Linked DNA regions of Sus scrofa. The main gene of each other region encodes a partner of the protein of the gene in region 3 in a complex. Links are inferred from orthologs where the notes say so. Each region holds a gene or a part of one and is shown on either strand. Other genes may lie near its edges.

The links.
Region 1: SF3B2 (region 3) and SNRNP40 share a complex: the UniProt entries of both Homo sapiens proteins name them as parts of the minor spliceosome. The link is inferred for Sus scrofa from reciprocal best matches to the Homo sapiens genes SF3B2 and SNRNP40.
Region 2: SF3B2 (region 3) and CWC22 share a complex: the UniProt entries of both Homo sapiens proteins name them as parts of the minor spliceosome. The link is inferred for Sus scrofa from reciprocal best matches to the Homo sapiens genes SF3B2 and CWC22.

The regions. Positions count from the first base shown.
Region 1 is NC_010448.4:87,877,375-87,881,124, forward strand, and holds the start of SNRNP40 (U5 small nuclear ribonucleoprotein 40 kDa protein), read right to left. Parts: upstream 2,250-3,750; 5' UTR 2,167-2,249; coding exon 2,023-2,166; intron 1-2,022. UniProt on the Homo sapiens protein: Required for pre-mRNA splicing as component of the activated spliceosome. Component of the U5 small nuclear ribonucleoprotein (snRNP) complex and the U4/U6-U5 tri-snRNP complex, building blocks of the spliceosome.
Region 2 is NC_010457.5:85,564,330-85,567,979, forward strand, and holds part of CWC22 (pre-mRNA-splicing factor CWC22 homolog), read right to left. Parts: intron 2,396-3,650; coding exon 2,260-2,395; intron 2,170-2,259; coding exon 1,963-2,169; intron 1,876-1,962; coding exon 1,813-1,875; intron 1-1,812. UniProt on the Homo sapiens protein: Required for pre-mRNA splicing as component of the spliceosome. As a component of the minor spliceosome, involved in the splicing of U12-type introns in pre-mRNAs. Promotes exon-junction complex (EJC) assembly.
Region 3 is NC_010444.4:6,291,122-6,294,871, forward strand, and holds the start of SF3B2 (splicing factor 3B subunit 2), read right to left. Parts: upstream 2,530-3,750; 5' UTR 2,475-2,529; coding exon 2,342-2,474; intron 2,184-2,341; coding exon 2,134-2,183; intron 1,834-2,133; coding exon 1,756-1,833; intron 675-1,755; coding exon 426-674; intron 231-425; coding exon 180-230; intron 1-179. UniProt on the Homo sapiens protein: Component of the 17S U2 SnRNP complex of the spliceosome, a large ribonucleoprotein complex that removes introns from transcribed pre-mRNAs.

The DNA.
Region 1 (3,750 bases), on a different chromosome or scaffold from region 3:
CCTCATTACTTGTTTACAGTGTCTCCCCTACTGTGCCACTAGAAAAGCTCTGTGACCACAGGAACCCTATAGAGTCATTCAACAGTCTTCCCAGTTTCTAGTTCATTTAATGAATGAATGATTGAATTGAGCTTCCCAACAACCTTGCAGGGTACAAGGTTACTAAGGAAAGTAGTCTTGTTTACGGTTTTAGCCACTAAGCCTAGGCTTGGGCAATTCACAGAAACTTGAGCTGATATTCTTACTTGTCAGATGGAAGAACAAATACACTGGCATTCTCTTCATGGCTCAGTGGTTAACAAGCCTGACTAGGAACCATGAGGATATGGGTTCAATCTGTGGCCTAGCTCAGTGGGTTAAGGATCCGGCGTTGCCGTGAGCTGTGGTGTAGGTCGCAGACACAGCTCAGATCCTGAGTTGCTGTGGCTGTGGCGTAGGCCAACAGCTGTAGCTCTGGTTTGACCCCTAGCCTGGGAACTTCCATATGCCATGGGTGCTGTCCTAAAGAAAAAAAACCAAAAGAACAAATACACTATTAATAATTCCTAAATCTCATCAGTAGTTTCCAGCTTATTCATTTACTCAAAAAATACTATGTGTCAGGCACTGTTCTAGACATTGAGAAAACAGTGTTGAACAAAATAAACAATGTAGGTTGTATTCTAGCAGGAGGGAGGGACAGAAAGGAGGGAGGGATGGCAGAAACAAGTATAAGGTATAGATGGTGGTGGTACGTACCATGGAGAAAACCAAACAGCAATGTGTTAGTGAGTACCCAGGTATGCAATTTAAAACAGGTTGGTCAGGAAAACCTTCATGGAAAAAGCGATATTTGAGCAGAGACTTGGAGGAGCTGAGTGTGTAAACCAGGTGGACATTTGGAAAAAGAACACTCCAGTAGTGGGAAAAGAAAATGCAAAGGCTTTGTGTGTGGTAGGAGCATAGAAGCCAATGTGACTGGAGTAAGGTGAGCAATGGAAAATTGGTAGATCAGAGAGGTCAAGGGAAAGAGGGCAAAAGGTTGTTAGGATTTTAGTTTTACTCTGAGTGAAGCGAAAAGCCATGGCATGTTTTCAGCAGAGGTTAACATGATTTGATGTTTAGAAGGATTCCTCCGGCTGCTGGACTGAGAATAGAATGAGCATCTGAGAAAAGAAACAGGAATGCCATCAGGATCCTACAGCAGGAATACTAGGTGAGAGAATAACAGCTTAGATCAGGAGGTAGTGATGGAGATATTTAGAAGTGGTAACAAATCTGGGTTTATTTTAAGGATGGTGCCAGCAAAGATTTGCTGACAGCCTGATTGAGGAGTTTCAGGAGGGGACATATATTCTTCAGCTAAGCCTAATAGAGCAGAAGGAGAGATGTCATCCATCACTACCTCTATCTTATAAGAACTCTAGTTAAAAGCCTGGATTCTGATTTTAAAATCGGTTTCTATCACTTATTAGAGAAGTTTGTTTCCCCATCTACAAAATGGGACAATTAACAATTCCTACCTCTTAGGCAGTGACCAAGATTAATGGAGTTTTCATATACAAAACACTTAGTACATGGCTCAATAAGTGTTACCTATTCTTCAGTTGTTAATACTAGTGCAGAGAAAGAGTTTTCCCCAAAGCAAGTTGCCCCAAGTCCCAAAGCGAGCTAGTATCGTTCATTTCCTTCCTTTCTTTCTTCCTTCATTCATCCATCCACTCTTTCAACTTTCCTGAACGTTTATTCTATGCTGGATCCCTGGAAGATTTAGGATGCGAAAGCCCGGGGCCCAGTTTTAAGATCCCTCACTAATTCTAACGCCCCCTCACAGGGCCATCGAGACGCTGAAACGTCAAACGGGGAAACGTAGCATCGCAGGGTGTTGACCGCTTTAACAGGTTTTTCTGCTCTAACTCCCTGGTGTGAGTCCCGTTCCGCCCCCGCAGTGCAGGGAAAGGGCCGGTACGGGATCTCACGGTGGAGCACTGAGGAGACAGGAAGATGAGCTGAGGGCCGAAGGCCATCTGCTCGTTTACTCACCGCTTGCAGCAAAGCTCCCGGCGCCGCCTGCTGCTGCCCGGCTCCCGGGCCCGACCCCGCCGCTCCCAAAAGCAATTCATGCCGCTGCCGCTTGACTGGGACCAGAGGCAACTCTGGGCCCTTGCGCTTCTGCTGTTCTATCATGGCGGCAACCGCTCTCCTCAGGCCGCCACTGACCGCGCCGACACCCTCAGGGAGCGCACGATTGGCTCCGACTTAGTCTTTCCCTTAGAACTTCCGGCTTGGAGAAACCAATCGGCTTCCAATACTCCCCTCTGCACCGCCCCCTGGGGAGTCTCCAGTTATTGGGCAACTCATTCTGATGTCACTAGAGTACGATTCCAGGATTGGTGGAACGAGCTGGAGTCCCGCCTCGGCGCGCTGGGTCTTGTGGGTGGAAGCGCGCTGACTGGGTTCTGGCGTTTCGCGCAATGCTGCGGCGGGGAGACCTGACGCTAACTCCGAGTAAGTGTTGGGGGTGGGTGGCTGCGGAATCTGGAGGCGGCGCCTCCGTTGTGTGGTCTGAAGCTGGCCTCTCTCAGCCCAGGGTTGATCGCAGAGGGCAGAGGGGGCCCCTGAGTTCCTAGCTCTTGGTGTATGGTGGCCTGGGTTCCCTTTCTAGGTTGGAGCAGAGCAGTGGGGTCTCTGCGCCTGCCTGGGGCCCTCGACGGCTGCTTTCTTTAACAAGCGCCTTCTGTGTCGAGCCCTGTGCCAGGTGCTCCTTGGGAGAAAAGGTCAGTTTCCCAGCCTCCACCAGGGTCGTCTCAGACTTTGGAGGCCGACTTCTTTCTGCCGTGATACTGCAGCCTTTTACCAGCGCCTGCTCTGTGCCCCTGAGAGAGAGAGAGGGAGAGAGAGAGAGAGATGAAGGAAATGTCCGACTCTTGGTCTCCAGAGCACAGTCTTGGCTGAGAAATTCAGACTCATACTTGTGAAGTAGGTTTTCTCCTTAATCGTTCAACTGATATTTATGGTGCAAAGCTTTGAGGAGACATTGTGAACCAAACATGGTCCCTGACCTCAGGGCTTTGAGTCCGATGGGAAAAACAGATGCTCAACAATGATCTTTATAGGGAATGCAAAGTAAGTGCTGCCAGGGAAAGGTACCTGGTGTTTTGAGTGCCAGAAATAAGCCGGAAGACTTGTCTAACAAAAAGATGCCTGAACCTATGCCTGAAGGAAGAATTCTAATTAGTTGGGGGAAGAGAGGAGGGCAGAATATTCCATATAGAACAGCATGTGCAGAGGCCCAATGGCAAATGAGAGGAAAATGACTAAAAGGTACAAAGAGGCCAGTGTTGCCAGGACAAAGAGAATAAAGGGGAGTGTGGTACAAGATGAAGCTGGAGGCAAGTGGAAGCCAGACTGTGTAGGAATTTGTAGCTTTTCTTTAAGACTGATGGGAAATCACTGAGGTTTTATTTTGTATTTTGCAGTGGAGAAGGTGGTGTGATGGAGGAGGCAGCTTGGTCCTTCTGGCTCAGTAGTTTGAATAGATTGGAGGGGAGATAAATGCAAATAGACCGCTGAGGTGAGAGTTGTTAGCAATGAAGACTATAGAGTGTTGGTGGAACTGAGAGGTAGATATTTTCTAGACTCCTTTGCACCTAAGATGAGAATTGAATTGGAAGGGAAAGGAGGAGGGTGAGAGGCATCCTCCTTTGCTGGCAAATACCATAGTAGAGGCAGTGGGTTTCTTAGTCACCAGCTTTTTGGTGTTGTGACTTT
Region 2 (3,650 bases), on a different chromosome or scaffold from region 3:
GATTTTCATGTTAACAAGTATGAAAATTCAAGGACATTATTTCAGGTTTCATAATGCAATTAAATTTTTAAGAAACTAATAGCTATTAAATATTAACTGGCATAGTATTAAGGAGGGATACACTCAATTATAGCTCTGAAAAGGCTATTAAAATACTCCTCCCTTTCTAACTACATTTCTGTGTGAGGCTAAATTTCCTTCATATATTTTAATAAAAACAACTAATTGCAACAGATTGAAATCAGGAACGATATGAGAATCCAACTGTTTCCTATTAAGCCAGACATTAAACTGTACAAAATATAAAACATGCCATTCTTCTTTTTAAATTTGTTTTTTAAAGTAGTTTTTGTCATAAAAATATGTAATATGCGAATATGTTATTATTATTTTGAAATGATTTAATTTTTTATATTTCCAGTTTTAATTTTTAATAAGTGTCAACAGATATAAATCCATATAAATAAAAACTCTTCGGAATCCTCAGTAATTTTCAAGAGCATAAAGATATCTTGAGACCAGAGAGTTTAAGAAGTGCTATTGTAAAGAAAAGTACTGCTTTCCTGGTATCGGCCAAAGAGGCTAAAAATGGGTGGGGAATTCCCAAGTTAAAAAAAAAAAAATTACGCCAGCTATAACAAGAATTCCATAAAATCATTTAGCATTTTTTAGAGATACTATAGAAAAAGAAGTTAATAAAAGAAAAAAGTGGGTGTAAGGGTTTCTCCATGTTTGGAAACCAGATTTTTAAGAGAAAAATGAATCTGGCTGTTGCAATGAAATGCCCTAGGAAAACAGCATCTAAGGAGAGATGTACCAGATATTGTACCAGGTTTTGGGGATAACATATAGAAATGGGGAGTTCCTTACACCGTTACTTTCCTTTTCAACATTCCAGTTCTAAGCATGACTAAAGCATGGAACGCAGCAACGACAGATTTCTAGGTCTCTGCTCTCTCTTCCTAGAAGCTTTCAGAGCCATAAGTATTTGCCAGGTAAAATTACAACTCAAGGGAAATAAATCTATAAAATTATTATATAAATACATGAAGTAATATAAATAATTACATAATAGAATAAAAGCAATGATATAAGTACCTCTGAATATTAGCTCTGGAAGAAAAATAATGACACATATGAAAAAAATAGTATCAGTGTCTAAATACATGCTCTGTGGCAATACAAAGCACTGTATTTTATTTATTCTTACACAAACATGTAACATTTACCCTTACATCAAACAAGTAACTTGTTCTAGGTCGCTTAGCTAGTAATGGCAAAAACAAAATACAAACCAATGTCTGTACAAAGCTAGTGCTTACAATATACTAATGACGTACAAATGATAATAATTAATTATCTACTGAGCACCGATTCTGTATCTAGCACTGTGATTGATTTTAGAAAGATACCAACCTGTCATAAGAAATAATTTAAATAGAGAACTTTATGAAAACATATAGCACTTAACTGCATATTAAATTGGGTGGCAATTTAAGCAGTAATTTTTAAATGGCAGTGAAGTTAAAGATTACTGGTAAAACATGAATATTTCTTAAGAAGGACAAAACTTAAAAGAGTTGTATAATTTAAACAGAGACAAAGAGGAGAGGAAAAATGAGTTAATTTAGAATGAATACCATAGATGAGCACTAGACTAACACATGGGTAAACACTGACAAGAACAGCTTCTCAAGAACAAAAATTTCAAGAGGTAGGGGTCTGTGATCTATAACTTTCTATCAGTACTATATAATTACATAAATTGCTTCTACTTATCCAAAATAAATTATTTTGTAAATTTCTACATACCCTTCTTAATAGCTTTGTACTTCTCTTCATTTTCCATAAAATTAGGGTCCATCTTGAAAACATCTTAAAAAAGAAAGAAGTTAATTAGTGTTTATTTTCAATATTTATATTCGTTTGTACTAAACTTCCCAACACCCACTCCTAACTTACTAAGAACGTCTTCTGGATTATAGTCATCTTCCAGAGGGAGCATGTGAGTGAACTGATCATCTTCTTCCACTAAGTCAAGTCCTTCTAGGATAACAGGGTGGTCCTTGAATCCATCCTTCCGTACAGCAAACATCACTTCAATCATATACTGAACTCTCTTGTCAATTTCAGACTCATGAAGAATGTTTCGAAGGCGTTCAAATATCGCTAAAGTTAAACAGAAAGATTGTACAATAAGCAATAAACATTGTGACACTCAAACGAAAGCTCAATAGCAAACCAAGAATATATACTTACCATTGATTCCTCGTGGTGACACTTGTGTTAACTTGAGACCACATTCCTTGAGAAAACCAATAGCTACTTCAACACTGTCATCTGTTGGTCTTTCCAGGAGCAAAGTGAGCATTTCTAAGCATAAAACTTCATGAGCCTTAAATAGATTTAAGACAGACAGAATGGACAAAATGATTTTACATATATTAATCTACTACTGAGAGTAACTTTAAAAATTATAAATCTACTTTTTGCAGTGATAATAAGCAAAATCTTATAATATACATAAAATTTCTCCAAATATCGGATACAATTTTTCTTTCACTTCCATTATGCATCCATTAACATTTCCTGATGCTTTTCCCCAAAATCTTAACTTACTGCACTGAATACAACTATTTGATTTATCTCCAGAAGAAATATTCTTCCTAAACTCTCTATATAAGAAATGTTATCTATAAGAAATGCCAAAATTAACCTCAAAATGTTAAAAAATAATTTACTAATTTTTAATCAGAGGTATTTTCATAATCACTATATGAAGAACAGTAATACAATTCCTTTTTATAGTATCTTTCTTCATGACCATAACTCTAAATCCATTTCCCAACTGATTCTATCAGCAACTTTGTTAGCAAACAGATGAATACTAATTTTCTCAGAAAATATCTTTCCAGTAGTTTGTAGCATGCAATGACAGTTTTGAACACTTTTTTAAAAAAATTAAATCAAACTCAACTAACTATGGTCAAATTTTGGATTTCATAAAACAATGCCAGTTAAAGAGGGAATAAAAGTCTATTGGTAAGTTTTGCTATAAATGAAAATGAACTTGGGAATTCCTACTATGGCACAGTGGGTTAAAAATCTGACTGCAGTGGCTTGGTTCACTGCAGAGGCACAGGTTCAATTCCCTAGCCTGGTGCAATGGGTTAAAAGGATCTATGTTACTGCAGCTGCTCTGTAGGTGGGAGCTAAGCTCAGATTTAATCCCTGGCCTGGGAACTACTGTATGCTGTGGGTGTGGCCATAAAATTTTTAAAAAATAAAGAAAATGAACTTACAAAGCATGTTCAAAACACTATACACTAGCTTTTTAAAATCGGACTCTTTTTTGAGATGGAGAGAGATGAAGTCTAAATTTCAACTCAGGAAAATATCCTCTTCACATTTTGCACCACATTAAAAACACATACTACTGGAGTTTCCACCATGGCTCAGTGGAAATGAATCTGACTAGTATCCATGAGGACACAGGTTTGATCCCTGGCCTCGCTCAGTGGGTTAAGAATCCAGCATTGCTGTGAGCTGTGGTGTAGGTTACAGACTTGGCTTAGATCTGGCATTGCTGTGGCATAGGCTGGCGGCTACATCTCCGATTCAACCCCTAGCTTGAGAACTTCCAAATGCCA
Region 3 (3,750 bases):
AATCTGATACAAACGACTCAATTACCCCCCGAGTCCTCACCTAAATGGTATCACCTAAGACTGACAGGGGTCAGAAAACTTTTCCTGAATGGTACTTCTTATTTCAGACACTAAACAATAAAAGTGACAGGCAATGGACTGGACCATGGGGTCAAAAGTTAGGATGAGGGAGGCATTACCCGCTTCTGCTGCTCCAAAAGCTCATGTTCCTTCAGTGAATGATCCCCCTGCTTAAAAGAGAAAACAAGCTCATTTCAGCACCAAAATCCCACAGGCCAGTCGGCCCCAACTCTGCTCCCAGCCAGGGCCCAAGTTCTAGTCTTTGGTCCAGACCTTCCCAGAAGCCTTAGGCCCCAGGATCCGGCTCCCTCTGAGGCTCCACTTCCCATTCAGGACCCTGATGAGCCCCAGGCTCAGGCTGCTACCTGCTTGGCACGTTCCTCTTGCTGCATCAGCAATGCCGCCTGCTGCTGCGCCAGCTTTAACCGCTCTTCCTCGGACAGTGCCACAGGTTCACCCACTCGGAGAGGAGGAGGGGGGCCCAAGTTTGGAGGGCGGGGTCCAACTGCCATGGGAAAGCCAAGGCCAAGGCCAGGTGGAGGTGGTGGGGGTGGTGGAGGAGGCTGTAGAGGGGGGAGTCCCATGGGCGGGGGTGGCATGGGAATCCCAGAGAGCTGTGGGGGAAAAAAAAATGACCATTAACTGGAGGCACTGATCTACTACAAATACTTGCTGGGGAACTACAATGAGCCAGGTGCTGGGATTCAAAGTCAAACGACACACAGTTCTTGCATTCAAGAAAAAGACTACTCTTGGAGTTCCCATCGTGGCTCAGAGATTAACAAACCCGACTAGCATCCATGAGGACACAGGTTCGATCCCTGGCCTCACTCAGTGGGTTAAGAATTTGGTGTTGCCAGGCGCTGTGGTGTAGGTCAAAGATGTGGCTCGGATCTGGCATTGCTGTGGCTGTGGTGTAGTTGACAGCTGCAGCTCCAATTTGACCCCTAGCCTGGGAACCTTCATATGCTGCAGGTGTGGCCCTAAAAAGACAGAGACAGAAAAAAAAAAAAAAGGAAAAAAAAAAAAAACAAAAAACACTCCATAGCCACATCAAGAAAGGAGAATTCGGGAGTTCACATTGTGGTTTACCAGTTAAAAAACCGATCAATATCCATGAGGACTCGGGTTCAATCCCTGGCCTTTCTCAGTGGGTTAAGGAGCTGGCATTGCTGCAGGTCATAGATTTAGCTCAGATCCAGAGTTGCTGCGGCTGTGGTGTAGGCAGGCAGCTACACCTCCAATTCCACCCCTAGCCTGGGACCTTCCATATGCCACGGGTGTGGCCCTAAAAAAAAAAAGGAAGGAAGGAAATAAAGAAAGAAAAGACAAGAAAAGAAAAGAAAGAAAGGAATCAAATCAGGGAGGAAGCCCTAATTTGTCACTGAATAACATGGGAACAGTGTGCTGGGACAGCAAAAAAAGAGGTTAATTACTTCTACCTGGAGGAGGATGGGACGATCAAATTAGGCTTACAGATATTTAAGTTGAACTTTGAAGGACCTGTAGGATTTGGAGGAGCTGTCACAGCAAAGGAAGCAAAGATGAGGACCAAGGGAGAACTGAAGAGTTCCCAATTCTGTCATCACAGTACCACCCAAACTGCTGGTTGCAACCTCCAAACACACACTCCATATGAGAGGAGGGGCTACTCTGGGCAAAAAGGGATCCTAACAAGTGGGAAGACCGCCCTACCTGGGCTGACATAGGAGGGGGAGCAGCTTTGTCCCCATCTTCACCTCTCAGAACAGGCCGACTCAGGACGATGCCAGTCTGCGAAAGAGAAAGGGCTCCAGGTCAGTCCAAAAGGAGCTAGCTGTTCCGCTAAACAATGTTCGCTCGTGTCCGTTCGACAAAATTTACCCAGGGTCTGTCTGCCAGAGCTCAGACGGGGTTCTGGGGGGGGACCAGCATGTACAGAAACGATTACAACAAAGAAGACAAGAAGAGACAAAAAGAGCAAGACCTCACTCGCTGTACCGAGATACATCAAGAACGAAGAACGAAGCGTGAGGGATCACGAACCGCCTCCTCCAAAAGCTCGGCCTATCCTGACATCCCACCAACACTTACCTGGCGGGTGTAGGTCTGCAGCCTTTCCACCAGCTCCTCGCGACTCCCTGCTGGGCAAAGCACAGGATCAACGGGGTAAGGCAGGCGGAGCAGGCCCAAGTCAAGCCCCCGCCCCCCCCAACTCTTCCGCCCCCGGGTCTCCGGGGTAACCAGCTCCGCTTCCCCGCGGGCCTACACTTTCCGGCCCTTGACCACCCGTGCTCCTCACCCTGGATTGGAGCGCCGATCTCCGCTAATTTGGCCTGAAGCTCCTGAGCAGCCCAGGCACCATAATGCCCAGGAGGCGGCGGCGGCGGCAGCTGCAACTCTCCTTTCGGAGGCTCGGGATGCTCGGCCGCCATCTTAGCCGCAGGAAGGCGCGCGACCCACCCGGAAGCTCGGGCCGGCCTCCCGGCCCGCTTCCCGGAACTTCCGGCAGCGCCATACGCCACGTCCGCTCGAGGCTGGTTAGGCGGACCACCCTCTGCGATTCGTCAATGGTCCCTAGGCGGCCTGGCCGCGAAGCCTTCTGGGAGTTGTAGTGCGCAGATCACGGTCTTTGCGGGCTCAACAGGATAGGGCCTCTGGGAGGAGGGTGGTCCGTCGCAGTACCGGGAACGCTGGGGGCCGGAGCCGGGGTGGGACTGTGGGGACCGCTGGTCCGGAGCGGAGGATGTGCTTTCTGCGTCTCGCTGACCGCTGCGCAGACCTCCCCGCCTCCGGCCCGACTCCAGCTCAGGCGGGAGAGGCCCAGGCGCAGACGTTCCCGAGGACTCATTCCCCGGGCGGCCGCGCGCTGTGGGCGCCGGGCGGGAGGTTGCAGCCGATGCCTGGGATAAAACAGTGTCTGATTGTCTGCCCGCCCACTCCCGGCCCAGGCTTGGATGAATGGCCTGAAAGGGAATCGGAGCCGGAATGGAGCGGGCCCTCCGGGCTGAGCTCCAACTGCCGACCTGGGGGAAGGGCCACACTAAAGACCCTTTTTCCACCTTCCCGGCTAGCTCAAATGTCATCTCCTAGCTCAAATGTCATCTCCGCTGAGCCATCTCCTGCCGCCTTCCTTTCCTGCTCTGGAGCTTCCATAACACGTCCAAACCTCCGTCATTTGTTTTAAAGTCTTTCTTGCCCCTTATCCACACTTCCAACCCCAAAGAAATGAGTCTTGGAGTTCCCATTACGCCTCAGCAGGTTACGAACCTGACTAGGATCCCTGAGGATGCGGGTTCGATCCAGGCCTCGCTCAGTGGGTTAAGGATCCAGCGTTGCCATGAGCTGTGGCAGCTCAGATCTGGTGTGGCTGTGGCACAGGCCAGCAGCTGCAGCTTCGATCTGACCCCTAGCATGGGAATTTTCATATGCTGCAGGTTCAGCCCTAAAAAGTAAAAAAAAAAAAAAAAAAAAAAAAAAGGCATGAATCCTTTTTACTGTCTCACAGTACCTGGCGTTAAAGAGGCGCTTAATTGGAGTTCCCTTCATGGCACAGTGGTTGACGAATCCAACCAGGAACCATGAGGTTGCGGGTTTGATCCCTGGCCTTGCTCAGTGGGTTAAGGAGCTGTGGCATAGGTCGCAGACGTGGCTCAGATCCTATGTTGCTGTGGCTCTGGCGTAGGCCAGTGGCTACAGCTCCAATTAGAC